Linked DNA regions of Arabidopsis thaliana. The protein of the gene in region 1 interacts with the protein of each later gene in a pairwise test. Each region holds a gene or a part of one and is shown in the gene's direction. Other genes may lie near its edges.

Region 1 (7,635 bases):
AGTCGTGTGGAGTCATCAGGAGGCTTCGTTGACCGTCAAGCCCGCTACAACCACCGTACGGGCAACCATGGCCGTCCACCCATGCATGTCTGGGATGAAGAAGACTCAGACTCAGACGTGGAGGAGTTCTTTGAGAGCAGCCGGACCCAACACACTACTGCGTTGCCGCAACCACTTCATATGAACTTCAGGCCTCCACCTCCAGTGACTCAGCCTCACCACAACGTAAGTTATCTCTTTTGGTGTCGTTACCTTATACTAATCATGTTATGTTATGTTACTTAATATATTTATTTATATGTAAGGTATCTTTTAAAATTTTGAAGTCCTGAAAATTGGTGCTAAAATTTTGCCAAATAAAACAATTAATTCTGATTTGTATATATAAACATCAAAAACAAAGTTATATAAACAGATTGAGGTGGTGGTCTAGTGATAAAATGGAGTTGGTATTTTGTGCCCTAAGTTCAAACACTCTTTCGTAGAGAGAGGGCAAGTCCTGAATTCATCCGGTATAAAAACATAGTATTATATAAAATCAAAAGTCCATAGCTTTGACCTTCACGCCACAAGAGTTTTGAAGATAAATTTTAGGCAACGGTTTGTGGTTTTTATTTATATTAACAAACTATTATAAAAGAAGCACCAATTTTTTAATCTTATATAGAACCTTCTGTCATCCTATCTGCTTAAACATATATTTTGTTTTTTAATTTGCCTAATGATCATTTTTCAGGGAAAAATGGGAAAGATAGGTAATGGATTGCAGCAGGGACACGAGATACATGGGATGAAGCACCAGGGCGGACATGGGATCCAGCACCACGACATACACGGGATGCAGCACCAGGGCGGGCACGGGATGCAGCACCAGGGCATGCACGGGATGCAGCACCAGGGGGGGCACGGAATGCAGCACCAGGGCGGGCACGGAATGCAGCACCAGGGCATGCATGGGATGCAGCACCAGGGGGGGCACGGAATGGAGCACCAGGGCGGGCACGGAATGCAGCACCAGGACATGCATGGGATGCAGCACCAGGGCAGGCACGGAATGCAGCACCAGGGCGGGCACGAAATGCAGCATCAGGGCATGCATGGGATGCAGCACCAGGGCGGGCACAGAATACAGCATCAGGGCATGCATGGGATGCAGCACCCGGGTGGAGTAGTGGTAAACGCTACTGAGAATTGGCGGGTCAGCAAAATCACCGGCCAGAAACTCGGGTGGGGAGGTAAGGGACTCTAGACTCCACCTAAATACTATGCCGGTTCAAATAAGAAAGTAATGATTATGTACCCAAATAATACATTTATAAGATGTATGTGTGTGATGGACATGTTTCTGTATCGTACCAAAACTAAATAGGTGGCTTTTATCCCAAAAAAGTGCTTTCGTTTGATGACCTTATGATTTCTAAAGAGTGTTGTTGTTGCTGCTTATGTTTAATAAAAGTGATGTATATTATCAGTTGATTTCCCCACGTGGAAGGGGTGATTATATTGCACAAAATTAAGTTAAAAGTAACATTGTGGTGTAATAAAAACCCTAGTGAATTTATAACCTATAAGTAAGTGGTGCAGTAGTGAATTTATAACTTATAAGTAATTTATAACTTCTTTCACCTCCAAAAAAAAAAGAAAAAAAACATCTGTTTTAAAATAAACTTCACATTCTTGGATTCCGTTTGTAATAACTAATGTTTTACACTGTGAAGAAAAAAAACTTTACATCGTTTAATCAAAAAAAAAAAACTGTTGATTAAAAAAATGAACTTCTACATTGTCAATAATGATTTTTAATTACATTTTATAATCTGGTCTTTTTAGACCAAGTCTATTCCTGAGTCCAATAAAAATATGAGTTTCGAGATGACGGATGGCTAAGCAAGAAAGTTAGATAAGTTCACGTTTGAGGCGATTTTTATTATTTTTTTAGACCCATAAAATGAATCCTCAACAACACAAAACCGCCACTTGGTTAAGAGAGACTCTAAAATTTGCGCATTAGAAGCAATTTCCATCGTAACGATTGAAGAGGGAGGCCATTGCACAACGGAGATGAACCTAACATTGACCATATCCACGCATATTTTCGTATGTTCTTTGATAATGTTGCGGTCAAAACACGCCAATTTGATCAATTATTAAAGGCATCTAGTTCGACTGAATAACCAATAGTAGTTATCGTTTACCGTTCTCTCTTTCTTTATATGGGAATATATACGTTGGCAACTCTCCTCTAAACCCATTGGCCCACCTCTTTATATTTTACAAAGTTATTTTTCCTTCTACTTGTTGAATATATATTGAACCGTGCGTCTCTAGTTTTAATCTTCCAAGAACATTTGGCCCAAACCTGGAATAAGAAAGAAGAAATAATAGAAAGATATCCAATTCAGCCTGATCCAATGATTATTAACCTGACACCTGACATGGACAGCGAACCAAGCTATCTTCCGAGTTATAGGGCTGTCAGGATCGACCCAGATTGACCGTGGCTCAACTGATGGATGAACATGTTAAAAATATTTACATATTTTATGATTTCTAACACCATCATCATGGTGACAACCATCTTGCATTTACTTGATGAGATCTAGCCAACTTTCTGGTATATTTGGTGGGCTTCCTCCGATTTTCAAAGTACATATCGGATTATCGGTTGTATATGTGTTATGTTAGGCACGTTTCACTAAATTTTTGGAATAGTTCCTTTAATAGCAAATGTTTTGATCTTTTCAGTTTCGTGGATTGATGTGGGATGCTACTTAAGTGGTGTATTTTTCTATCCAAATTGAATTTATCATCATTTTACTTATGGTTACCAAAGCTGAAAGTAATCCCTACGGTCACCACAATCACCGTTACTTCTCTTGGAGGTTCTCTTCTTTGCTTCGTCTAAGGATCATTGGTTTGTCTCCAATATTCTAACACAAGTCTTCTTTCCTCATCTTCTTCCTACTTAATCTCGGTATTTTTTAACCCTCACCATTGAATATCCCATGGTCTTTAGACTTCTTGTGTTACTTCCCACTTTTCGCTAACGTGGCCGGCTTACTCATGTCATGCACGTTACGTGGCTATTAGCAAAGAACAAAAAAAAAAAAAAAAAAGTTACACAACGCTTCGTCGAAATCCAAAAATGAATGAAAATTTTAACTCAAACAAATTTAATATAAAATCAAATAAAATCCGTAATAAATAGAACTAGACTAGGTTTAATTTCCAGTTTCATTATTATGCTTCCATTAATACTCAGCCAATTCCGAAATGTTCCCATATGAATAGGACTGATCTTTAATTTAAAAGACGAACGGAATTAGAACAAACATGACTATTCAACTTTCGTGGTAGAAAAGAGAATAAGATTCATATGATCGTACGATGATATTTCGAATAATCTCCAAAGGGAATAACATTTTCTTCTTTTACCTCATAGAAATCTGTTTTTTAAAATAAACTTTACACTGTCATTAACGTTTTTTTTTTAATAATCGGGACTAGGTCTTTGTCGACCGAAGTCCAAACTAATTCCTGAGCCAAGTATTAATATGAGTTTTATTGCCACTGAAAGCGTCGACGAGTGGCTAAGCGGGATAGTTAGATAATTCCACGTTTAAGGAAATTCTTTTCATGGACTAGACCAACAATGAGAATCCGCTATCACTTGGTTAAGAGAGACTCTTCAAACTTTGCAAGCATTAGATGCAATTTCCATCATAACGATTGAAGAGACCATTCCACGAAGGAGATGGGCCTTACACTAAACTTATCCACACATCTTTTCTAATGTTCGTTACTAGTATTGCTGTCAAAACATGCCTTTTTGGACTAAACATTAGTTGATACACATACAACATCTATTTTTGAGGGTCTATAGGGTCTGATTTTTTAAAGAAAACGTGTCCGTAGACAGAAACCTCCTTAGTTTGGATCTTTCCCATGTGATCATTATTAAAAACGACGAACGGAATTAGAACAAACATATCTATTCAACTTTCGGTAGTGATGGTACTAAGAGAATAAGATTCAGATCATAAAAAAGGGAACTATATACAAGAAATTTTTTCTATATATAGAAAACATCTGAAAGATTAAAACACTTATCCATATCAAAGAAAACTAACACAAGTAGATAAATATAAAGAAAAATGCTTGATAAGCTTATTATTGGGGTTGCCGGAGGGATTACCGGAGGGATTCTTGGAACGGTCGATGGGTTTGCCAAAGGGGTCGGGATATGGCCCAATAATTATCAGAGCACCGGTCGCTTCGAGAACAACAATATGACGAGTCCGGGAAACTACGGCAATGGTAATGGCGGTGCAGTGAAGGCATCCGAGAACTCCGGCGGCCGCCGCCAGAAAGACAGGGAGTAAAGGACTCCTGACCACACCCAGTAATGATTATGTATCCAAAATAATAAATGTATACGATGTATGTATAAGATGGACATGTTTCAGTATCTTACCAAAAATATAGGAGACTTTTAATGAAAAGTCTTCTTGTTTAATTTTATGAACTTTATGATTAATAAAAGGAGTGTGTTTAATAAAAGTGATGTATATTAACAGTTATTTCCACACGTGAAAAGATTGAATTTATTTGCACACAATTAAGTTTGAAAAGTAACGTTATGGTGTAACGAAAACCCTAATGAATTTATAAGTTACGTAGTGCAGTAGGATATGTCGTTTTAATGTTTCTGGTTCATCTAAATAATTAGATAATTTATTTTGCATTTATCGACCAAAACTTTAAGCTCATAGATTTGATTCAAACAAGTAATTCATTTACTAAATTAGACGGATCATAGGATTTTTTGTTGATTCGATTAGCCTTTTCAGTTATGCAATGTTCTTGAGGGAAACACAAACACAGATAGCATATTTGGCGACAGCGTCTGCCTTTTGAATTGGAAAGACGAGAAATATAACTAAAGGAGATAGAACGGAAACAACCTTGAAGCTGTCGAATTTCTTGAAGAATTCCATGAATGTCATTGATAGAGTTGTCTACACTTTTATCTCAAAAATCAAACGAACCTTACACAAGCAATGTTTTTTTTTTTTCCAATAATCAGAGTCTTCCTAAATCCAAAGTCTAGACTAATTCTTGAACTTAATACTAATAGAAATGTTTTCTTGCAATTTACAGCGTTATGGAGTCTAAGTTGAATAGTTAGATTATTACACTTTTATAAGGCTTTATTTTCTGGCCTAGAACAACGACCTGAATCTTCAACAAGGGGAAACTTTAAGTCCACTTCCACTTGGAGAGTCTTCAAACTTTGCAAGCATTAGATGCAATTTCCATCATAGCGATTGAAGGACCATTTGAGTGACAAGTAAGACGGGTCGTGTATGTCCATAGTTATCTTGTTTTCCACTTTCTTTCCATCTACTTCACGAATTTTTGTGATCGTTGAATTTTTTAAGACGAACGGAATAAGAACAAACATGTCTATTCAATTTTACGTATGGTGGTGGTAAAAAAAAAAGAATAAGATTCTTATCATATCATGGATATCATATGACGAATAATTGCCATAACAAACAAACTTAAGTGAACACTACGAGAATTGTATAAATATATACAAACATCTGAAAGATTGTAAGCTCTTATTCATATCAAAGAAAAACAACAGAATTAATATATAAAAATGCTTGATACGCTTATTGGAGGGATTGTCGGAGGGATTGCCGGAGCGATTATTGGAACGGTGGATGGGTTCGCCAGAGGGATCGGAATATGCCCCGATAGTTACCAGAGCTGCACTCGTACCGACTGCGAGGAGCACAAAAAGAAGCTCCCGACCAACCTTAGCCGTAACGGCGGTGCAGCAGCAGTGAAGGCTAAGGAGAACGGCCGCCGTCGCCGCCAGAAAGACAGGGAGTAGAGGACTCTAGACTACCCAAATATTCTGACGGTTCAAATAAGAAAGTAACGATTATGTACTCCCCATATAATAAATGTGTAAGATGTATCATGTATTTGTGTGACGGACTTTTAATGAAAATAAATGTTCTTGTTTAAGTTTTTTTTTTTTTTTGTCAGCGTTCTTGTTTAAGTTAATAAATCATTTATCATATTACATAAGAAATATATATTAGATCGGTATATAAATTGACTTTAATATATATTTATCGACAAAATTTGAAATGAATATTTAGGAAGTATATTATATCTCATTGAACTATATATATAGAAAGAGAAAACGAAAAGACTATTTACGAAAATGATTGGATTAAGATATGTTGTTTCACGATGAAGACAAGGGAAAAAAACCCTCAAGTTACATGCTTTAATGTTCATTACATGAATCTACTTGTTAAAATAACATAAGTACAAGTGAGTTAAGGAACAAAGAAAACTAATTACGTTAACTAGAAAAGATGGGTTTGTGCGTAGACTTGTATTGGAATTTTCATGTGGATCACAACTATATAGGTTTTCACAACAACTGGTTATTTAGTTGTCTTCCTCTTATATACACTAAATATATTATCTCTCACATTGCTCAATAAAATTAATATATGTTAAAATTCGAAAACATAACACCAAAAAGTATGTAATATCAGTAATTTTTTTAAAAAAATACAAATAACACTAAAATCATGTATTTATTTTTGTTATATATGTGCAGTTTATAAAATTATTATTATATTATTAGAAACTTAGATTTACATTAAAATTTTCAAAAAATAATTATTTTTCTATCTTATCGAATTGTATTAGTTTTTATATTACTCCTACTCGAAACTAGAAAATATAAATAATTTATAACATTTTTTTTTTATTTGTCCAGTATTAGTTTATAAAAGTTTTACTATATATCATAATCTCTTGAATCCTTCTTATCATATGAAGGAGAATATCTTCGATATTTTTTAGTGGTCCTAGGTCAACATGACGAATCCTCATCAAGGCAAAACCACAAGTTATCTCTCCAAGCAAGATGCAATTTCTATCATAACGATTGAAGAGACCATTCCACAACGGAGATAATTAGCCTTACATTGAACTTATACACACATATTTTCCTACTTTCTTTACTAAAGTTGTAGTCAAAACACGCCATATCATCCATTGTTAAAGGTATCTAGTTCGATCGAATAACCATCAGTGACTCTCGTTTACCGTTTTCTGTTTGTTCATGGGCATATATACCTTTAGCCAACTATCCTCTAAATACAACAATAGACATGTCACATATGCGTCAATATATTTAATGGTCCAATGAACATTGGCCAAACCTGGAATAATCTAAAGGAATAAAAGGTATCGGATTCAACGTAATCCTTAAGACTCCAATACTAAACATGCGTAGATATAATCCCTCTGATGATTAATTTAAATGCGTACTGAGTAATAAGAAGATATCAAACAAGAATTTCAATAGAAACAATGGTGCCTGAGACCTTCCTTCAGCATAAAACTCATCATCATCGTCACCATACCCATCATCATCACATGAATTCGATGGCAGAGAAACCTAATCATCAAGTTATGGAGTACGAAGACTTGAGTCATGACGTGATGAAGACGTCATCACATCATATGAGGAAGGTGAAGAGTGAGAAGAAAGCAAAAGATGAAGATGTTGATAAAGAAGCAGAGAATTTCATCAAT
Region 2 (8,617 bases), on another chromosome or scaffold:
TGGTTCCAACAATTGATTAAACTAAATGCAAACGTTTAATTGATCATGAACCAAATTGTATATATATGCTTGTGAACAATAGCTTTATATGTGTGTGTCAGTGTGAATAAATATGTGTGTATCGAAGTGTATTTTTACTTGGAAGTATGTTTTAGATGGGACATGTCGACTGCTTGTTTGTTTCCCAAACTTGGAGATGTCGTGTTGCAAGCGTAATTATGTGTCTATATATATGTGTATGTTAGTATATACAATGATATATTAAATTGTTGTTGTCTGTGTCTTTTGTTGCAGTTATCCAACAGATACAGACAAACTCATGCTGGCTAAGCAGACAGGTCTCTCCAGAAATCAGGTTTCACTTCTGATATCTTCAGTCTTCTTCTTTTTTCTCTTTCCATCTTTTCTTGTTCACAATTTAACAAATTTCTTGCTAATTAAGCATGCACATAGTCACATAGATAAATATATGCTTTTATGAAATGAGTTTCTGTTGTCGGACAATAATTATATGTTTTAAATCTTTTCACATATATCATTAGTATAGTAACTATGTTATAATTTGGTTTATTAGGTTTGAATAAGTGTTACACTTTTGTTTTTGAAAATTTATCCGTTGGTGATAATGAATAATTTAGGGATTTTCTATCGCTTGAGGGTTATTAATTTATTATGGTAAAATGTTATTTTAGGTATCGAATTGGTTCATAAACGCAAGAGTTAGGGTTTGGAAGCCGATGGTGGAAGAGATTCACATGCTGGAGACTCGACAATCTCAGAGATCTTCTTCTTCCTCTTGGAGAGACGAACGTACTAGCACCACCGTCTTCCCTGACAACAGCAACAACAACCCATCTTCGTCCTCGGCACAGCAAAGACCTAACAACTCATCTCCGCCTAGACGGGCACGAAACGACGACGTTCATGGCACAAACAACAACAACAGCTATGTAAACAGTGGGAGCGGCGGCGGTAGTGCGGTTGGTTTCTCGTATGGAATTGGGTCGTCGAATGTGCCGGTGATGAATAGCAGCACAAACGGAGGAGTGTCTTTGACGTTAGGGCTTCATCATCAGATTGGGTTACCGGAGCCTTTTCCGATGACAACTGCTCAGAGGTTTGGGCTTGATGGTGGTAGTGGCGATGGTGGTGGTGGGTATGAAGGGCAAAATCGTCAGTTTGGGAGAGATTTTATTGGTGGTAGTAATCATCAGTTTCTACATGATTTTGTAGGTTGAGATTATTTGTGTGGAAAGGAAAAAATATGTTTGACGTTTGGGTATGTATAAGAAGATATGGGGGAATTGAAATGCATATGATGTGTATATTAGAATGTTTCTTCTTCTTTTTTTGTTGTTTGCTTACTTTCACAAATGTTATCTTTTTAAGAAATGAAATTGGATTCAATAACCAATGTTAAAAACATGGGTTAGACTTTAGAGTTGTCTATGTCTTGGTGAAATATAAAAGGCATCTATCATTGTTTTAATATTTTGGCATGATTCAAAACATGGTGCTTTTTTTTTTTTTATGTATGTCACAATTATCGTTGAAGAACGCGATTAAGATGTTTATCATTGATCGTTGATATTATATTTTGAACTATCTTGTTTTACTTGATAGTAAACATTGACTAAACAACATGTTTTCAAACCCTAAACCTTGAAATATTTCAGACTATTTGAGTTATCTTTTTGAGTCGGATGCAGTTTTGACTCCGATCCGCTCAACATTGTTGAATTCTTCTACTCATAAAAGAAGTTTGAGCCGATTTCAAACACACAAAACAAATGAGTTCGGTTTAATGTTCAGTGTGTACTAATACGTTGGCTTTTGAAGATCACATGAGAGCAAAAGTATTGAAAATAAAATTGTGCTTTTGTTGCTTCAAATAACTTTCCATTTGCTTTTGGAAAACAAGAAAGATATATATATATATATATATATATATATATACATAACCTTTCCCTCTCATGGGAAAAAAGTAAATCTTTTTCTTTGTAGAATTTATTCTCCGATCCTAACCATTTCTCAGCCTTTTTGTTTGTTTACACCATTTTTGTTTATATTCTTGGATTATGTCTATATAGAATAAGATGTAAACATAAACTGTATTAGCAAATATGTTTTGAATTATATGAAATTCAATAATTGAGAAGAGGTTCATGTAATGAGCCGAGAGAAGAATATAAAAGCAGTCAAATAATTTTTTCAAAAAACTATTTGTATATTAAAAAGGTACAAAGTAAAAAATAAATTTAAGAAGGTGCCATCATTGGCTCCTAAAGAACAAACTACAAAGAATCAATTTCTCATGATTTGATCTCTCACAATCCGTCTCCTTTATGTGGATGCGGAAAAACACTCTCCACACGTTTCATGTAAAAATTTTAGTTAAATTTCTAAAAACAATAGAGATACTATTCGATTTGTTCTTGAATTATTCATGAATACATATAGTGGCAACCTTAGACACTAGCCACGTCAACCGTACATGTTATATCATATATTTTTATATTGGTCTATCTATATGCTGAACTAGAGTCTAGAGATAAATATGAGAACATATAAGAAACCATGGACAACTAAAGATATTGTCTTTCTGTGTGAGTATTTGTTCCAGAAGCATTAAACCTTCGGAATAAGTATAATTCTTTTGCACCATTACTATTTTTATAAGCTTCACCAGCTCTATATATATTCTCACCATTAACATAAAACAACAACAACACGAAGAAGAAGATGAAGGTACTTGATGATGAACGGGTAATCTGCATCCTGAGGTTTAAAACCAATTAAGCATATACATATGCGAATGTATAGTTTTTAATCCTCGGGATACAGTTTACCTCTTCCTTACTCAAGAAAACACTTAGCTTTAACGGTTTTGGAGAAAGAAGAAGCATCGAATTAAATCCATTTGAAACAGGTTAGTTATCTTAGTGAAGAATATATCCATCAATCATAATTTGGTCTAGTCATTCGAAGTGGGATATGATTTGATACATATAGTCTAAAATATGATTTTATGCCAGTAATATTTTGTTTTCCCTGTCCCCTACCTATATCTAGAGCTTGAGATCCTCCTTTTAAAACTTTTAGATGATTAATCGTTTTACAAATCATAGTCCCAGACTTTCGTTCCAATCTAGATCGGTTTAGATGCGTTTTGTTTTGGAATTTATACAACGAAAACCAAAGTTTAGATTAAAAGATTCGAAAACCGGATTACATAAAATCTGGTCCAGGACCCCTTTGGTTAACGAAAACCAGACTAAAGGGCAGAAACGTCATTTGACAAAAAGAAGGATGATTCTCTCCTTCCTCTTTCCCCAATGCAAAGAAAAAGCATTATAGACTTTTCAAGTTTTCCGATATAAGCACGAAATCGCTGTTTCTCTCTTCGACGAAGCTTTGATAATTTGATCTCAATCGATCGATTCTATTGAGAATTTGTGTACCTGTTTTCTTATAAGGTTAACTAAGGATTGTGGAATCAGAAGTGTTGTGTTTTTGTGATCGGAGATTATGGATTGGGGAAACGTAACGGTTGATGATCTCTTCGATGCTCTCCGAGAAGTTGACTGGTCGTCTCCGCCGCGTCCTCCGTCTGAGTTCTTCTCAAGGTTCACCGTTCCTAAATCTGTCCCTAAATGGGATAGTCGCCTCAAGTGCAATCTCTACTAGTACGATCTCTCTCTCTCTTTCTTGTTCGCCAATTTCATATCTATTCGGATCTGATGTTGTGATCAATCTCTCGTTGAGAATTACCAATCAAATTCGTCCCAATTGAACATAGAATTCTTAGACTTTGGTTAGAACACAGAGTCTTGATAGCTTAGTTTCTGTATTGAGCTTAATTTTGACCTGTGATGATGATCTGTTTATGCAGCTACCGAACAAACTATTTCATCATGATCGTCGTTATACTTGGTATGTGGTGTGAGGAAGTGGCTAAGCATTATCATCTGTGTTGTTTATCAATGATGTCTTGTTCACTTAGAATTGTCAAATTTTACTTCTCAGGATTGGGAGTCCTTACAAGGCCTTTAGCGATCTTCGCTGCGCTTTTGACAGCATTAAGTTTGGCATTTCTAAATGACAGGTTTTTCTTCATCTTCCTTTTGTTTTTAAACTCTCAGAGCTTTGACTAGTGGATATGCTTGAATCAGTAGATCCATATTGAGTATTCTTGTCTACAGCTTTGCAGGTTCTTTTAGTGAGAAGGCGACACGAACCGTCAGAAGATTCTCTCCACAGTTAGCTGCTAAAATGAGACCTCCTTTGACGTATGTTTATCTCTCTTTGTTGCCTTTCATACTCTTTGTTACTCCTTGCTTATTATCATCTATGTTATCTGTGTTTTTTAGACCTGTCACTCGTGGGCGTCCATCATCAAAGAGAGCAATCCATGTATGTGGTCAACCCCGTTGGGTTTTTGTCTTGACATGCTCACTTGGTATGTGGCTTTGTATATTTTCATTTGATGTAATATATCTCCAAAAACCGTAAAAAACATGATTTGGAGTTTTTTTTTTGTTTCGCAGTGAGTTTTGCTCTTTGGTATATTTCCTCTGGTTTGCTCAGAGTCTCGGTTGCGCTACTCATTGCACATCTTGGTATGCAGTCTACACAAATCCTCATAAGTCATAACTTAGTTTCTCTCACTCTACTTCAAAAATCCACATATAGGCTTTTATAAACTCAACCTCTTTTTGTAATTTGTGTTACAGCAACAATTCTTCATGCAAGCTTGAGAACACCGAACTTGAAGGCACGTTTTAACACATTTAGGGAGGAATTCCGAGCAGTATGGCGTAACTACAGCGAGATTTAGAGTAATGTAAGTTTGAAATATCTTCTTCTTAGTCTAACATCTATTTGCTTAACTGGATGGTTAGATTTTCTGAAATGTTGACAGTCTTTGGCAGCTTGTACCACCATGATCGTGTTCTGCTGAGGACATAACGCTGTAAAGACCAAACTTACTGCCTTTCTCCAAGATAAACCCGGTTTCGTTAACACTGTACTATGGATGTTCAATCTGGATTTGTTGCTCAATGACTGGGATCATCTGTTTTTTCTTTGATTTGAGATTTGAGCTCTGAGCTCTTTTTGCTAGCAAAATCCTCTCTTTTTTTTGCTAAAGACTTGTAAAGCTAGCTTTGTTGTTCTTCGTTCTAACACAAAACCCTTTGTGTAAAGTCCTAGAATCGTTTAATAGCTTGCATTTTTTTCTTTCTTTTTTTGGGTTGAGAGGTCTAGTAACAATAATAATGAGATAACAAGAAATGGAAAATAAACAAATGATTTGACTACTTAGCCGAGAGTTTTCGGATAAGAATAGGCAATGGGAAAATGCAAAAGAATTATACTTTATTGAGGTCGTAACATTTTTTCCAACTGACACTCGAAAGAGTTGCATCTTATATCTAGCAAAGTACCTAAAAACCCATTAAAAACATGTAGCAATATTGTTAACAAGCATAACACATGACCTCACTTTCAACGATTGCTCATGGTGATATCAAGTTCATCTAAGATAAACTCAAAAGTTTAAAGCAAAAAGAAATCTCGCTCTTATTCTCTGAACAAAGTTCAGTTTCACTTCTCGACAAAAGACTTGAGATCCTTGAGCCATTGAAGATACTCTCTGCTATCTTTGTTGGCCACATAATCTGCCAGAAAGGTAGTGAAGCTTGGTTTAATACCTCTGATCTCCAAGTACCTGTGGAAAGCCTTCTGCAAATTCTCATCCAAGTCACTGCACATAACACAATAACCAAATTCAATCACATAACAATACCCCAATCTCATATATTCCAAACAAGAACTCACTATCATTGAAGTAAACTTACTCAAAGTCAGGTCCTTCGTAAGCAAGGTCATTATCAGATCCTTGCGGTTGTTTGATCGATAAACTATCAATCACAATCTCATCCGGGTATGCGCTGACTCCAAACTCAAGACACACACCATCACCTTTCTGCACACTAACAACCATCGGAACCCGGACTTTACCCGAGCTCTCTTGATCTTCATCGTCTTCTTCATTGTTTGGTTCTGCTTCCTCTTCTTCATCTTCATCATCATAAGAAGCAACAGAGTCAACTTCCACTTGGATGGTTTCATCCTCAAATTTCCTTGTCAGCAACACAGTTCTCTCCCCTGAATTATCAATGATTTCAAATGGAAACCCTTCTGGCTTATCTTCCAACTGTTTTTCCAAAACATTTCTAATTCAGATACAATTGTTCTAAACCCCAGAAATATTAAAATCTCATGAATTCGAGAAGAATCATGTATATTGAAAGAGAGAACTTACGAAGTCAGTGTCATGAGGAGCCTCCTCTGCGACGGCGCATTCGATTTCAGATTCGATAACGCTAACAAGATTCTCGTCGGCGGTTGTTTTAGAGATCGCACTTTCCGTCGAAAAGCTCGAGACTGAGAATGAACTAACCGATCCACGCCTGATCTGGTGGCTACCACGAATCAGCCTCTCGACGGAGACAGCGCCACTGCGGAAGCTAACCGGAGATCTACCCGCACGGAAAGCAAGATTGGCTACTGTTGACGAAGCTCGACGAAACACGGTGCTCAACGCCATTTCTGAGGATTCTAGGGTTTTCCTTAAAAGTGAAAAGAGAAACAGAAATGAGGGTTTTACTGAGAGAAGAAGAGAGGTTTAAGGTTTGTTTATAGTGCAAAGCATTATGTAGGAGATAAAAAGCCATTTAATAAGGCCCAATTACTTAATGGGCCATAAGAAGCCCATATATTAAAAGGAATTGGTCATTCGTACAGTGAGAGAGGAATGTCTGTGTGTGGACACGTCCTTAAAGGCAAAAGGAGAGAAGAACAAAATAGCTCTTGCCGGCGTCAGAATTGCGTCACTGTTTCTTCCAACTTCAATTTTAATATCGTTGGCTTGAAGTTAAGGGAAACATAATTGTTCCTCCAAAAAAGCAGAATTAAATTTGTGGTAGATACTTGTTTTTAAATTCATATAGCTCAAAAAAGTTGTCATTTTTAATGTTGGTTTTCTGGTGGCGATGCTCTTAATTACCCAATTCCGTACGATTTATGATCATAAGTCAACTTTTGAGATTTGGGTTTGTGAAATTTTCCTGAATAAAATTATGGGTTTAGGGTTTTTATGATCAATTTCCTGTAAAGTAGCGATTTTTTTCTCCCGGGGATTTTGGTGAGGAACAGGATAGAAAGTCTTGGTTTTGTTCTGTTTATTGTGTTTGTTTTTGGGTTCTGATCAATGAAGAAGATGATTGGGAGTCCTGGAACAATGAGTGGGTTGATACTGAGACTAGGGCAATGTGCAACTGCTGCTGCTTCCATTGGTGTTATGGTTTCTTCTTACGACTTTTCCAATTACACTGCTTTCTGGTAATTGTCCATCTTCAATCTCATTGGTCTTGGTGTTTTGGTTTAGTTTAGTTTAGTTGAAGACATTGGACACTGATGTATCAAAAATCTTGACTTTGTAGTTTTTTCTTGGATAAACTTTTGAAGATAGAGCTAACTGAACTAGTAATTGTGTATGATTAACATTTGCCTGAAACTTTGACAAGATTTTTTTCTTTGTTTGGTAAAAAATATGTGGAAATGGAATTATTTCTATATTTCGATTACTGTATGGGGTTATCTCAAAAGATACAAAATGATGATAGATTGCTTTTGCCAATGATTTCAGCTTCTTAGTCGCATCTATGGGTCTTCAATTGATATGGAGCTTTGGACTTGCGTGTCTTGATGTATATGCGATAAGGAGAAAAAGTGATTTACGAAGCCCTATCTTATTGAGCCTTTTCACTGTTGGTGATTGGGTATTAAACTTATCTTCCATTTCATTATATGCTTATTCACTGTTGGTGTCTTGTTGTTTTAAAGGTTATTTGTTTGATAGGTTTCTTTTGGAATTCTGCAGGTCACTGCACTTCTCGCTCTTGCAGCCGCGTGTTCCTCTGCAGGAGTTACTGTTTTATTCACTAAAGACACTGAGTTTTGCAGGCAGCAACCCGCTCTCTCTTGCGATAGGTTTCAGATTTCTGTTGGTTTATCTTTCTTTAATTGGTTTTTAGCTGCTATATCGTCTCATACCATGTTTTGGATCTTGATATGATATCAAACAAAACCCATCTCAATGATTTTACAAAAATCCATTTCTATGAATTGTTTTTCTCCAATCCATAACCGGAAACAGGGCAAGGGTACAAGTCATTTTGGTAATTTTCTAAGACAGCTATGTCTCAGTAACCTCTTGTGACAGAATATTGATGATGTATTCAATCTCATCAGCAACCTCTTTCATCGAAGGTCGGTTTTGTCTCCGTTCGTTAAGGCACGCAGATGCTAAATTCCCGAGCTGCTGTATCGTCTGCATGTCAATCTTGTTAGCTGTCTTCTTCAGCAGTGGATCGATGCATTCAGTCAATCTCTCTTGATCCATCATCTTGTTAATATACATCACCAGGTTCACATCTTCCTCTTCTCTAGTGAAATCTATCGCCTTCTTCGATGTAACCATCTCCAGAAGCACAACCCCGAAGCTGTACACATCGCTCTTATCAGTTAGCTGGAAATTCCGGTAGTATTCTGG
Region 3 (7,564 bases), on another chromosome or scaffold:
CAGTTCTTGTGACGGTTGTGATGAAGATAACGAAGAAGAACGGTAAACCGGGTTGGATACCGGATAACTTGAACCGAGGCCATCTTGATTACTTTTTCTACTTGTTGGCAACTCTCAGTTTCCTCAACTTCTTAGTGTACCTCTGGATTTCAAAACGCTACAAATACAAGAAAGCTGTTGGTCGAGCACATTGATCAAGAAACTGGTGTGGAAGATATTTGGAGTTAACAGTATTTGTTTGAAAAGTGTTTTGCTTGTAAATGTTTTTTGTATGTGGTCTAGTTGTTGTTGGTGTGTTAGGTTTGTTTTGGTTTTGCTTATGTATTTCTGAATACTTCCAGTCTTCCACTTATATGTAAAAGGCTATTGGTAACTATTTTATGAGCTTTTTGCTTAAAGCTTTTTGACCGTCTGATAATATGTCCTCCTATATTTTGCCATTGCTCTTAAGAAACTTATTATATACATTGGAAGTTATAAGCAATAAGCTGGGAAATAAAATCAAAAACTAAACAACAGCATGGGAAATCTTAACAAAAAGCAAAGCACATAGGATCCTATTGTCAATACATATGTAAACTTACTACTAGACATTAAACAAAGAGATCAAGTATTTTCTTCTGTTTCTTTGAAGATGTCTTTACTTTTGACTATATATCTGAACTGTTTGGAAAATGCTCAAGATCAGGATGCATAAGGAAGCCCCCTTGGCTTCTTGGAGGTTGTCTAACAAGATTGAGACAAGCAAGCGTCAAAAACAGATTTTGATTCTGGGGTTTATTTGTTCAGTAAAACCCATGGTTTATATATATATAGTCAGAAACAAGCTTTTTATTGAGCTCAACTATATGCACATAGAAAAAGAGAAAGTTTTTTTGTCATTTTACGAATGTGGTGGTGCGATGAAGCCAGGTTTGGTCACTAAATGAGCGGAAGCGGAAATAGCCAGCAGGACTATCTGGAAATGAAACCAAACCTAATCATTTAACAAAGTATAATCAACTCTAGCCTTGCAATTATATGGCTAAGAAGGAAAAATTTAGACCATAATAAGAGTTTAGAACAAACAGGTAGAAGTAGTAGATGTATTACCTTGATGAAAGAATCAGAGGGCGTAAAAGCTTATACAGAATCTCATTCTTTAAATCTGTCACTAACTTATCTAAATTCTTAAACTGTTCACGGACATTGCTGCTAGTGCTCTCAGTAGTATAATTCCTAACTCTGTATTAGTGCTCTCAGACGTGGTTATTACGAAATGCAGGCATAAACCAACCCGATCATACCCATCACATTATCAGAAGTCGCCATCAAAGAGATCACCAGAAATCTTGGGAAGCAAGGAACCTAAGTTGGTCTGTCAATTTTGAGATAATGGGCCTATCTCAAAACAGTATCGGGCTCGTCTGCAAAATAAGAAAAAGGCCTAGAAAGTCGGTTATTACACGTGGCATCCTTTTATTGTATATTTACTTTTCCGTCCCTTACATTTTCTTATTTAAATAATCTGTTAACTTGCTTCTTCTTCTTCTTTCTTCATCTTCATCTTCATCTTCGCTTCACAATCTCTTTGAGACTTTTGCATCGGAGCAATAATAATATATTCATCGCAAAATCAGTGAATTTTGATATTCAAATCTTAATCGGCGATGGAACGAACAAGCAACGGAGGAATGTTGTATCACGAGGTTCAAGAGTCAAATCTGTGCGCCGTACACTGCGTCAACACGGTGTTGCAAGGGCCTTTCTTCTCTGAATTCGATTTGGCTGCCGTCGCCGCCGATCTAGACGGGAAGGAGCGTCAGGTTATGCTTGAAGGTGCTGCCGTTGGAGGTTTTGCTCCCGGCGATTTCTTAGCTGAAGAGTCGCACAATGTTTCCCTCGGCGGCGATTTTAGTATCCAGGTACGAATTCGCGATGAAATTGATAAATCTTGAGTTGCATTCAACATTTATATATTGTAAAGCCTTTTTGTTATTGTGTTGTTGGAAGTTTAGGCAAAATTAGGGTTTCGATTTTATGGTGCTTTTGATTGCTGTGTTTATGCTGAAGTGATAAACTTTTGAATGGTTGGATTCGTTTTTAGATAGATTCAAGAAGAATTGAGATCAGTAATGGTGTGAATTTGCGATCTTTACTTTGGGTTAAAACTCATTTGTTGAAGGCTAGTTTCATTGTGCGAACATTGCTATGCTGATAAATGGAGGAACTTGAGATGATTTTTTTTATCTTGGGACTCAATTGTTTTGGATATGTTAGTTATTAGTGAGGTTCTGTATATTCAATTATCATCTTTTGTTTCTTGGATAGCTTTAAACCGAGTTGGTTGATAACTTGATATTTGATTAGGTTGCTACAAAAGTCAGGTTTGATTGCAAGATTTATGTATTGAGATTCAAGGGTATAGTATGGTGTTTTACATCACATTTTTAGATATCTAAAATTAAAGCTATTTTAACGGATTACGTTGAAGTTGGATGCGGATAAAACACTGCAAACAGAGGGTTTATGCGATTGGTGTAGCATTTTAATCTTGCAAAGTTGATCTAGTCTTTGCTTATTCGTTTAACTGAGAATGCTTCTGTTTGATTGACAGGTCTTGCAAAAAGCTTTGGAAGTGTGGGATCTACAAGTAATTCCACTCAATTGTCCAGATGCAGAGCCTGCGCAGATAGACCCTGAGCTTGAAAGCGCCTTTATCTGCCACTTGCATGACCATTGGTTTTGTATAAGGAAAGTGAATGGCGAATGGTATAACTTTGATAGTCTCCTTGCTGCCCCGCAACATTTATCGAAGTTCTACCTTTCTGCGTTCTTAGACTCTCTCAAAGGCGCAGGATGGAGTATCTTCATAGTGAAAGGAAACTTCCCTCAGGAATGTCCCATGTCGTCTTCTTCTGAAGCTTCCAATAGTTTCGGGCAGTGGCTTTCTCCTGAAGACGCAGAGAGAATAAGAAAGAACACGAGCTCAGGTTCTTCTGCCAGAAACAAGAGAAGTAATGACAATGTTAATCAACAAAGACGGAATCAGGCATTGTCACGTGAGGAAGTGCAGGCTTTTTCAGAGATGGAAGATGATGACTTGAAGGCAGCAATTGCAGCAAGTTTGCTTGATGCTTCTGCTGCTGAGGCCAATCTCGGAGCTGTGGGCACTTCTGAAAAGGAAACTGAGAAACAAAAGTAGCAGAGAAAATAGAGAACAAGTGTTATTGATGGAGGTGGTGGGATATTCACTTTTGTTTCTTTGTTTTGGTTTGTTATCAAGAGTTATCAACAATTTTACATACAGAACAGAGAAAGAAAAAAGCTTACATCGAAAGATAGAAAACAGAGGATAATAAATGGTTTGTGGAATTGTTTTTGTTTGATTTTTTTACCATATTAAATTCTTCTGACAATCTTAAATTGAGGATAAAGATTCGACCTTTTCGAATTCATAGGAAACTACATCTGAAAAGGGTACATAAATTACTTCAGTTGACTAAAAGTAGATGAATGACCAATTTAAATGTGTTCTATGGAAAATATAAAAGGATGGTGTAAAATTTGATTCATCTCTAAGTACAATCTGGCGAACTTTTACAGTTTGAAAAAAACAAGAAGGATAACACTTTTAGGCTGGAAATAAAAACATCGAGAGGACAACAAACACCTTCTTTTTCCCTAAACAGAGCATAGCCTTTGAATTATTAATTAATTATTTGTATATTCAAAGTTGATGGCTTTGATGATGATGGTGATGACCCAACTTTAGTCTCTTCTTCACTTTTTATTTTTACTTTCTTTGTGATACATCAGGTTCCTTCGATTCGAGCCTTTAGGATTTCCTTTCACATAATGATCTGTTTCTGACATTCAGAGAAAGATATACATATCTGGGTTACTTTTGGGATCTGATCATCTGAGGAAATCTGAATCCAAGTTTGCTCTGATCTTTCTTCTCAAATGAGTTCTTCTTCGGACAAGTTGTTCAACAGAGACAGGACAATACATGAGATTCTGGGAGGAGGCATTGGTTAGTGAATACATTTCTTTACCAAATCCAAAACTTATAAAAGCTAGGTGATCTCTCACCTCTATAGCCTTTTTTTTTTCTTGTTATGAAATGAATCTGCAGTTGCAGATGTGATGCTGTGGAGGAAGAAGAATGTGAGTGTTGGTATAGTTACAGTGACAATAGCTTCATGGATGGTGTTTGAGGCATTTGCTTACACTATCTTTACTCTTATTTCAAGTGTTCTTCTTCTCTTGCTCTCTATTCTCTTCCTCTGGTCCAAATCTGCTTCCATTCTCAACAGGTATATTAATATTCACTTGTAACTAATATTACTTCATTTCTGATTCAATTTCTTGGCTCTTCAGGCCATCACCGCCGTTACCGGAGTTTCAAATAAGTGAAGCGATGGCGGAAGAAGCTTCGATATGGTTACGTATTCATGTGAACAAGCTACTCCAAGTTTCGCATGACATTGCAATGGCAAGAGACTCAGAGTTGTATACCAAAGTAGCAGTGTCACTGTTTCTTCTCTCATTGATCGGAAGTCTCATGGATTTTCAGACACTTTGCCACACCAGTAAGTAGATATTCTAAAACTCCTATAGACTTGGAATGCTTTTGAGCTGGATATTCATTTTGTGGTTGTTCTTGGTTAATTTGGCAGGCGTTTTGGTGGTTATGACGGTTCCAGCTTTCTATGAGAGATATGAGGATTACATTGTTGGCTCTATTGAGTTTATCTGCAACAAAACTAGAGAGCTTTACCTTAGACTCGAGATATGGGCTAATCCGGAAAATAAGAAACTGAGCTGAGATGCTGTCACCTCTTTCTTCTTCAGGAGTTTCTTTTTCTGATTTTTCTCGGTTTTGTGGAAAGAAAGGAGAAAAATGTATGATTTTTGATAAATGTTGGATGGTACAGCCAATATATGAGCAATCCACAGAAATTTTATTTCACAGTTTTACTCGAAAACTGAATCTCTATTCCGAAAACAATATTCGACCAAGTTCTGGCCTCTCTCAATCACCGAAAATGAAGAAGAAAACAATGTTGCTCTTATTCCCTCTGCTTAAAACTATGTGTCTCAGTTTCTTTTGGACGCATCGAGTTCCCGGACATACTTCTTTGCCTGGATTAGAGTATTAAGAACCCGGATTAGAAAATGAGAAAGAAGACTTTGCGTGACCGATTCGAATGCGATTGCGATAAAATAAAAATTCTATCAGTTGTTACCTGTTCGAGGGTCAAAAACATGATTACGTTCCATGAGCCAAGGCGTCCAAAGTTGGGGATGAAACCCTTGTAAAATGCCATAGGACCCTGTAGAGGAAACCGTAAAGAGTTTGTAACATTTTCTGGGTTATATCTAGAACAATGGAGGTATCAGAAGCAGAGTTGCTTACGTCGCTCTTCAGAGTTTTGACGAAGCAGTCAATGGTGCCCTTGTAAGCACCAGAATCTCCCATCATTCTTGACTTAACCTGCCACACAACAAGATTTAAGTAGACAATCAGGAAACGTGGTGAATAAACTCAAGGTTCAATGTCATGAGTAAATACTTTACCACGTCGACAGGAGAGCCGATGCAGACAGCAAAGAATCCTGCTCCCAGTCCAGATAGAATATGTGTGACAACGTTGTCAGTGAAACCCGGAATCTTCAAGATCGTCTGAACACAAAAAAAAAAAGGAATGTTGGTTGCTTCAAATATCAGGATCTCTTATTTAGAAAGAGAGACAGAGAACATATTAGTTTCATACCTCTTTCACTTGATCGTAACTCGCTAATTCAGCAGCATTGATAATAGCGTTTCTTGCTACGTTAGGTCCAAGACCAGTCCAAAGAGCTCGGACTCCTTCCTGTCAGAGCCACATTAATAAGATATGAAGTAGAGTTGAAGCAACTTATGCACAATCTCAACTTCCAAGTCGGGATAACTACCTGTCTCACAATTGTTGAATAAGCATTCAGCGCTCCAGAATACCGTCTTGGCGCACCTGCAGCTAGTTTTCCTTCGGCCTGAAGCCTAACTTTCACAAGATCAGTGGGATTTGCTACCATGATACCCAGTGCACCTGAGAGTTAGACAACAAAAACAGCCCAACTAAGTGATAAAGAGGAAATATATATTACGTGTTTTTTCTAAGCTGGTCTATCGTTATGCTCACCTGTTGTCAAACCAGCAAGAATTTTCTTGCTCAATGGAACATCACCTACAAAGTCTTTTCCAACATACAAGTTTTTCACCTGAGTAGAATAAATTGGTTAAGGCTTTAAGTAGTAACTAGGAAAACACTGAGTTTAAGCACTTTTCTGGAGCATGAAAGAAGAAGAATTTGTAACCCACCGGCTCATACATTCCAATCCTAAGACCTCCAAATAGGCATTGACGATGCAATCCAGGTACAACACCTTTCCATAGTGAACGTAACCCTTCTTCCCTTGCTATGGTACCAACAGTTCCCAACAATCCTCGATATTTAGGCAGAGTAACATCACCAGCAAGAGCAGACTTTTGGAGCTGAAGCCTAACTTTAGCAGTGTCCAATGGAATTGTGCATACCTGGTCCAGAGAGTTTAATTGCATAAGAACAGAATTATCTGACGAAACAACACAGCCAAAGAGAAGATACATGTTGTTCTGAGGATAATTAAACATTATACAGTTGCGTTGCATAGCAATCACAATGATCAAATAGATTCCATTTTCAAGTCTCATAATCATTTCAATGTTTCGCAAAATCATATCTAAAGCATAAATCAACAACACTACACATGCCAAAATTCAATTTCTAGCCACAGATCTGACCGATTATTCCGAGATCAAATCATTTCTATCGGAATTACGTAATCTGGAGAAACACTATAGAAGCTAAAATCAAAATTCTCCAGCTATACGATGATAAAGACAAAAAAGACAAAGATCAACCTGATCAGAACTTCACAAATACCAACGAAATTCGAAAATACATTTCCGCGTATAGCCAACAAAGTCTAGATCGCGACACACATTTCTCGAACGAACAAATAGTTTTCCGGTACAATCGAAGCATACTCAGCGATAAGAAAAATGGAGTTAAAAGAGATGAAAAATTGAGGAATCCGGCGATTACCTCGCCGACGCAAGCAGCGAAGGCACTGCAGGCGAAAGTTTTGGGCAAGGAAAGGTCGGATTTACCAGCCGCCACCATCTTCGATCCAGAAAACGCGAATTAAAGAGAGGAGGTTAGGGTTTCGAAATCGAAGAACAGAGAAGAGATAATATCGGGAAGAGGGACGACGACGATTACGGCTAAAGCAACTTGGCCTCGAGTAGTGTTTCAGTTATAGAAAAGATCGTCCCTCTCTCTCTCTCTCTGCGCGCTACGAAATGAGAAAGGAGTGGGCGCTTTACTTATTTATACACACGTGTGTGACGACCTGTTTTGTTAAATAGTATCATCCATCGATTATGTTGCTTTCACTGTCTGAAGAAAATTCCCAGTCAAATAAATGACACAGCACCACGCTGGATCGAATTTACTTTTACTAACTACCTCTCTAAATAATTTCATTTCTTTTTAATC
Region 4 (7,040 bases), 4.9 Mb from region 1:
CCGACTTCCTCAACTGCACCATCTCCTGTCACACTAATTGGATAGGCGACCAAATGGATACCGAGCATGTCTACGACCTTGTCTCCACTGTAAATCTCCCACATTTGCTCTCCTATTGTCCGTAACCCTCGGACACATTCAAGACTCTCTGGCTCTGACGATGATAAGTCATCTGCCGTGATCTTGCCACCGGTATGCTCATACCAGAGCGATAACCGGTAAGCTTGGATTTCGTTGGTGTTGTTGGTATTGGTTTGGTAGCAACCTATTGCAATCTCGGTGTCCCGACAACCATCCATTGATCTCTGGTTTATATTGGCTGATCCTATCAAAATGTATGTGTCGTCCACTACAAACATATGACAATCTCTGTAATTTAAATCTTAAGTGAAAGTTTGTGAAAGTTTAACGAATCTTCAATATATTTTCATTTCAGATTGTGAATTGCGGATTGTTTGTTACCTATCATGAGCTTGGAGTGGACATAGACCATGAATCTCCGATTCCTCTGCGCATTCCAGTAATGCGTTTTCTGGTGGGGCGACGAAACTGCTTCAAACTCCCCATCTCTCTTCTCTTCTCTGTTTGCAAGACAGAAGAAGTTTAGATAATCCCTCGGATGCGACTTGTCTCCAACTTCCCATATCGCCTCTCCAATGATCTGATACATCATTGACATCGTCTCTCTCGTCCAATGAAGTATCTCTTCAACCGTTTCACTCTCCGGTGGCCCTTCCGGCCACATCGGTATGACTATATACACAGCAAATCTCTCCCTTGCACGTATCTTAGCAGCAATCTTTAACGCTATTTCGACAGGTATCAAGTTTGTGCATCCGCTGCAGATTCTATCCATCAAAAAAAGAAATACTAAAATAGATCAGAATCTCCCAATGGATATTTAATAGCTTCGTTAAGAGAAATTTCGTACTTATCGTTCTTGCTCTCCCAATGATCACAGCTTCCCATGAAATACTGATTCTCGATGTAGATAAACCTCTCAGCCTTTCGAATTGCTGCGACATAGCCATCGTGTACACTCTTCTCTACCGGCAAACCTCTTGGCATCTCTGTTGCCGATATGTGATCTATCGATCTCAGAACTTGAACATTCCATTTCCTGTTATTTTCCTCAGTAGGTCCGGTTAGGTTTACTAAGTTTCTGATCCCTGAAGTGTTAACCAACACGGAAGGGTTACACTGTTTCGTCCATCGCTGTTCGAAGTTCTTCAGGACATCCCAAGCCGCTCCTCCAACCACGGACACATGGCAATCATGCCATGGCTCTCTTGGTCCGCCTCTACTTAGCTTAGCTCCAGCTACACTTGTCTGGTAAAAATCAGCTTCTGTTCCGAGTGTACGAAACAGTGAATGCTCCTCAGTGTCATATCGACCATCGCAAAGGTCAAACCCGCCAAGGAAGCTCATGATCTCTCGCTCCTTCGTGCTTGAATTTGTCACCCGTGTATCCAGTGTTATTGTCTTTTGGTGGTGTGCAAACGCTGTAGGGAGCTTTTTGTGCAATCTTGGACACAATCTACAAACAACGTTTGTGTTTCTGAAGTAAGCAAGAGCTCTTTCGACGTTTGTTCTCATTACACCTTTGTTCTTGATCATTGGTAAAGACGTCTCGTCGTTCCACAACATTACTCTCACCGCTACACCTTCCTCTGATTTCCGTTTCAGAAGCTCGCCAACCGTTACTCCAACCGCATGTGGAATCTCAGTTTCGTTGTCGCGTACAAGAACAAGATTAGGGTTTAGTGCCCATCCTGCAATGTAAACCAAGTGCCTAGCACTTTCGATCGCTTTGTAAACATCTTCCCATAGATTCCTTGCATTAAAAGGAACATCATCAACCCTTGGATCAAATGTGGCCTTGTGGTGTGCATCTTGATACAGTACGACTCTGCAGTTCGATCTTTGAGGGAAGCTTGCGTTCCTAATACCTTGAAAAGACGCTTCTTCAAGCGCTCTGCACCATCCCGGTTCAAGATAAGCCGGTCTGAACCACATCAAACACTTAAGCTTCAAGTTACGTTTCGTTGACCCATTGTCTGCAATCAGAGGGAAGAACCCGTTGATAACTGCTGAATTAGATGTCAGGATCTGTTCTGCAGAGATTCGGAATCTTCCGAGAACAGAACATCGAGTCTTGAGCGTGATGGTGATAGTCGTGTCAGTAACCGGGTGAGCGCAGAGGATCTGAAAAGTCTGATTCCAAATACGGTCGTATTCTGAGCTTGTTTTAGCAACTTTCTTCTTGTTTATCTTGATGGTCACGTAAGCTGCTTTTGGCTTTGTACATATACACTGTGAACAAAGATAACAAAAGCTCATGAAAATGAACACAATGATAACATCATCAGAGTCACTAATTCAGTATATGATATAGACTTACATTGAAAGGAAATGGAGGAGAAAAAGGTGTTGCATCGAAGATTGTAATCTCTAGTGTTCCATGAAAGTACTTCTTCTGTTCTTCAAGCTCCATCTTCTCTTTATTCAAAATGTATCTTTAAGAGAATGAGAGATAATTTTCTGTGAATTGTCAAGTATGTGTTTGAAGCTGGTCAATTACAGAATGCACAAGGTTATGTCCATCCATATATGTATATGTATTTGTTAATGTTTTTGGTGAAACTTGTAGGATTCTCCATGGACAATCTTAAAGAAAACATTCAACCATATAGATGACAAAATCGAAGGTGAAGTGTCTTTGAATACAAATCAAGCATTCGACTTCGGTTTTTAAAAATAGGAATTTTAAAAAGCAAAGTGTTAGATGGTATTCAAACAAAAGGTTGGGACTAAAATGTGAAAGCATGAAAATATCTGGTGGAGTTTGTAAATATTTGTGGGGATAAGCCACGTGCAGCAACAAAGCGCTGCCAAAGAAACCACTCGGTCGCAGTTTCTTTGGTGAACTAATAATATGAAATTTTTATTCTGCCGGAAAAAAAAATTAATCCTTCTAATGAATAAAATTATGCTGTTTACAAGTAATTAATCAGATTTATGTTTTGAAAATGACAGAGAATATAATATGCTGTACATTTTCCTAAGAATATGTCTCTATGATGCTGACTGTTAAACACATATAATACCAATATTGTTACCATAAATGTACAGTTGCAAAACAAATAAAAAATTATTACAATATAAAGCATTTATGTATTTATTGGGCATGTAACAACTTTTATCCATATGTGACATTTACATTAGCACCATCACCTAATCCATAGGGACACTGAGCAATTTATAAATTATTACAACCAACAAAAAAAAAAGCTTCGTGTCTCTCTTCTCCAAAAATGACGAACTACGGGGCGATTCCGACGTCGTCTCATCCATCACCGGCGATAGATCTCGAATACATCTCACGCGCCAAACACCGTATAAAATCCGGTCTAGCTACGCGCCGCCCATGGAAATCAATGTTCGATTTCGAATCAATGACTCTCCCTCACGGTTTCTTCGACGCGATCTCGAGGATCAAAACGAATCTCGGCTATTTCAGAGCTAATTACGCCATCGGAGTTCTCTTCATCCTCTTCCTAAGCCTTCTATATCACCCAACCTCGTTGATCGTGTTATCAATCTTGGTCGTCTTCTGGATCTTTCTCTATTTCCTCCGTGACGAGCCTCTTGTTGTTTTTGGTTATCAGATTGATGATCGGACGGTTCTTATTGGTTTATCGGTTTTGACGGTTGTGATGCTTTTGTTGACTCACGCTACTTCGAATATTCTGGGATCTTTGTTAACCGCCGCCGTGTTGGTTCTGATTCATGCGGCGGTTAGAAGAAGTGATAATTTGTTTCTTGATGAAGAAGCTGCGGCGGTTACTGAAGCTTCAGGGCTGATGTCATACCCTTCGTCGTAAATCCAAAAATTTGTTTTTTTTTTTTGTATGTTACTGAGTTTGGTGCGATTTGAGAAAACTTGACATGTTCTTCTACTTTGTTCAATTTGTTGACAACAGTACAATTTTTGAGTATGTTTTGTTGGTTAATTACGTTATTACATGATTAGCACTACAAACACTAATCACTTTGGATAAAGCTACTAAAAAACCATAATTGTCAATTAAGAGGACTTTGATTTTACAAAATTCTTCTATTGATCCTACGCACTATACCAAAAGAAAGTGATCAGATTGGCTAGTTGAGCTTTTAGTTATGATCTCTGAGACCTTTCTCAGTGGATAGTCTTCCATTAAACCTCCCTGAGATTTCATTCATTAACATATCTCCTTCCAATAAACGCAACACCTTCAACAACAAGCAAAAGAGCAGACACACTTGAGAGAGTTTTATTGACTTAAAGAAATGAACATGTTTCAAGAATGGTGAATCTTTTCTTTACCTGAGACATGCGAGGACGCAAATGTGGATCTCTACGTATACACAATGAAGCTGTATGAATCATGCAAATGACTTGTGTTTCTGAATATCGCTTTTCGAGCCTCGGATCAACTAATTCCTCAACCGCATACTCTTCTAATAAAGATCTTGCCTGCTCACAAAGAAAATAAAATAACAAAATGAGCTTCAAGAAAGAAACTTTTAGATTTCATTTACAAGAAGAGACTGAAAATGAGCTAAGAAACCTTAAAAAGAAGAAACTTATGGATTTACCCATTCAGTTAAACATTGTTGTCCCTTTGGTCTGTAGATATCCATTGCTTTACGACCCGTGATTAGTTCGATCAATACAACCCCGAACGAGTAAACATCGGCTTTCTCTGTGATTTGTCCACTTTGAGCATACTCTGGAGCTAAATAGCTAAAACAAGAAACACAGAAAGTAGTTGAGAAATTACTCTAGAGTGAGAATGATGATTTAGTTATAAATTTTGTTACCCGAAAGTTCCTATCACACGCGTGTCTACACCTAGCTCTCCATCAGGCTGCCATCTTGCTAAACCAAAATCTCCAACCTGAAAGAGAAACAAAAACAGAATCAAACGAATGTATAAAAAAGTGTAAATTGTGGTTCAAGAAAATATAAATACCAGTGGTTCATAATCATGAGTAATTAGTATATTGTTAGGCCTCATGTCTCGGTGAACAATGCAACCTACTCTACACTCTTCATGAAGATATCGAAGACCTCGAGCCGCTCCAACCGCTATTTTTTGTCTTGCAGGCCATCCCAAAGTGTCCTTATGGCGACCTAAATGGACATTTCATGAAAGTTAGTTAGATAACTCTAGTTAAGTGTTTTTTAGGTTAACAACATCTTTAACTAACTTGGAAACTCTATTTACCGTATAGATGAGAGTCTAATGATCCATTGCATATGTATTCATAGACCAAGAGTCTTCTGGTATCTTCGATGCAGAAACCGATTAACATAACTACGTTTCGATGCTGAGCACAGCTCAAAACTTCTACTTCAGAGCAAAACTCTACATCTCCTTGTGTACTGGCCACTTTGTGTTGCTTTACTGCTACAATCTGGCCTTCAGGTAATACACCTCTATGAACAGATCCAAATCCACCTTCTGCCAAAAAATTAGCTCGCGAAAACCCGTTTGTTGCAAGCTCTAACTCTTTGTAGGAGAAAAACCTCGGTGGTTTTCCAAATACAGGCGCTTTGTGCTGGCATATAGAACAGAGAGGAGGTGAAACAGGAGGAGCATTTCGTGATAACGCTCTTAAGGTTCCACTATACTCCTCCAAGTCTTTCCTTTTACTTGACATAGCTGCTTCTTCTCCTTCATCAAGCTTAGAAATTTTCTCAAGCAAAGCCTTTTTAGTAGATACTTGAACAGCCTTATCATCGCCTCTCGTTGATTCCTGCATCGAGACGCAATGAGTGCTAAGATATTCTGATATCCATGGTTGGAATCTCTTACTTAAGGAAGGTAGTGATAGATTTTCGCTCTCTGAATCAGAATCAGATTCATTCTCTTTGACGACCAAAGTTTCATCCTTTCTCACTTCAGCTGTGAAAACTGGCGATGATGTACCGAGGTCAGAGCTAGATACTGATGAAGTCCAAGCTTCTGTTCCTGTGAATGATGTCTCAACCTCAGGACTGCTCATTGGAGTAGTTGTAACAACCGCTTTAACAGAATCTAACAACCTGTTTTTGTTTTTTTCAGATGCTAATTCTGGTTCCTTTGTTGAAGACCCGACCAAGTTCAACCGCAGGACTTTTGCCTCAGAACGCTTCATCGCCACAATGTTACATTGTAACTCATCTATGCACCGTTTCTCTTCATGCTTAAGGTGCCTGTAAAAGAAATATAATCATTCAACCACACAAAGAGAGTAAAAACTAAAGAACTGAAGAATAAAATCAGATTATTAACTTACTTATCAAGAACTACCCAATTTGCTTGAGATTTCTTGGCCTCAGCCGCAACAGCTCCACATGGTGATCCAGAAACAATCTTGATCCTGACATTAACCTTCAAAGAAACAAGCATGAGAATAACTCTAGATATTTCAGAATATCATTATTTTGATGGTGGACTAATTTTCAAACCTTGTTTGGATCATATACATCATGAAGCTGGAGAATCATTTGGGAACAAGTATCAGTGAGATCACTCTTTATCTCAGACATTGGATCAGAATGCAGTTTCCAATGACCAGTAGCACAATCTCCAGCAAACCTAGGGAAAGTCCATAGCTTTCGGCCTAACAAAAAGACCAAACAAAAGAAAGACAATGAATAAAACAGAGCAAACTAATCTCCATGATTGGATACCAAAGAAGAAGAAAGTACCAGCATTGTAAGAAGTAACAACAACAATCAGAGTAATGCAATCTCCAGGATGAACAATATGAGTCAAGGCCCAAACAAATGCTGTCTTTGAAATCTCCCTAGATGCTTTGACAGCAACAAGAACCTTCTCAGTCCCATTAGAACCTGATCTCTTCCCCTGTTTCTCTCTGCTCATTTAAGAGGACTTTTGCAAGAACAATTCTCTAGATTCCTCTTGATTTCTAAATGATCCTTGGAGATAAAGTAGCTTCTCGTAGAGATAGATTCTGTAGATATGATTGCATTATTATGGCAAGTTGGA

What was found.
Region 2: the proteins of AT1G67865 (region 1) and PRA1.A1 interact in a two-hybrid assay, tested with the Arabidopsis thaliana proteins (one large-scale study listed by BioGRID).
Region 3: the proteins of AT1G67865 (region 1) and AT3G54120 interact in a two-hybrid assay, tested with the Arabidopsis thaliana proteins (one large-scale study listed by BioGRID).
Region 4: the proteins of AT1G67865 (region 1) and PRA7 interact in a two-hybrid assay, tested with the Arabidopsis thaliana proteins (one large-scale study listed by BioGRID).

Annotation. Positions count from the first base shown.
Region 1 is NC_003070.9:25,443,207-25,450,841, reverse strand, and holds AT1G67865 (uncharacterized protein), read left to right. Parts: upstream 1-3,219; 5' UTR 3,220-3,333; intron 3,334-3,889; exon of another isoform or gene 3,890-3,987; 5' UTR 3,988-4,154; coding exon 4,155-4,382; 3' UTR 4,383-4,665; downstream 4,666-7,635. Other genes in the region: AT1G67870 (glycine-rich protein), read left to right, coding at 1-225, 737-1,249; AT1G67860 (uncharacterized protein), read left to right, coding at 5,666-5,902.
Region 2 is NC_003076.8:397,635-406,251, forward strand, and holds PRA1.A1 (prenylated RAB acceptor 1.A1), read left to right. Parts: upstream 1-3,264; 5' UTR 3,265-3,528; coding exon 3,529-3,686; intron 3,687-3,892; coding exon 3,893-3,933; intron 3,934-4,026; coding exon 4,027-4,105; intron 4,106-4,202; coding exon 4,203-4,289; intron 4,290-4,370; coding exon 4,371-4,459; intron 4,460-4,547; coding exon 4,548-4,619; intron 4,620-4,733; coding exon 4,734-4,837; 3' UTR 4,838-4,843; intron 4,844-4,921; 3' UTR 4,922-5,356; downstream 5,357-8,617. Other genes in the region: RPL (POX (plant homeobox) family protein), read left to right, coding at 295-355, 693-1,238; AT5G02050 (Mitochondrial glycoprotein family protein), read right to left, coding at 5,605-5,764, 5,859-6,217, 6,326-6,610; AT5G02060 (Uncharacterized protein family (UPF0497)), read left to right, coding at 7,274-7,404, 7,712-7,844, 7,946-8,140; AT5G02070 (Protein kinase family protein), read right to left, coding at 8,261-8,617. UniProt on the Arabidopsis thaliana protein: May be involved in both secretory and endocytic intracellular trafficking in the endosomal/prevacuolar compartments.
Region 3 is NC_003074.8:20,038,515-20,046,078, reverse strand, and holds AT3G54120 (Reticulon family protein), read left to right. Parts: upstream 1-3,738; 5' UTR 3,739-3,945; coding exon 3,946-4,015; intron 4,016-4,117; coding exon 4,118-4,298; intron 4,299-4,362; coding exon 4,363-4,574; intron 4,575-4,661; coding exon 4,662-4,810; 3' UTR 4,811-4,953; downstream 4,954-7,564. Other genes in the region: PTR1 (peptide transporter 1), read left to right, coding at 1-194; AT3G54130 (Josephin family protein), read left to right, coding at 1,650-1,904, 2,597-3,184; PUMP1 (plant uncoupling mitochondrial protein 1), read right to left, coding at 5,083-5,127, 5,232-5,318, 5,402-5,479, 5,563-5,667, 5,759-5,857, 5,940-6,073, 6,167-6,245, 6,346-6,561 and 1 more.
Region 4 is NC_003070.9:20,585,136-20,592,175, forward strand, and holds PRA7 (PRA1 (Prenylated rab acceptor) family protein), read left to right. Parts: upstream 1-3,261; 5' UTR 3,262-3,314; coding exon 3,315-3,884; 3' UTR 3,885-4,064; downstream 4,065-7,040. Other genes in the region: PLDEPSILON (phospholipase D alpha 4), read right to left, coding at 1-349, 463-848, 932-2,313, 2,402-2,494; AT1G55200 (kinase with adenine nucleotide alpha hydrolases-like domain-containing protein), read right to left, coding at 4,174-4,272, 4,367-4,516, 4,639-4,786, 4,864-4,940, 5,016-5,176, 5,271-6,241, 6,325-6,419, 6,497-6,651 and 1 more.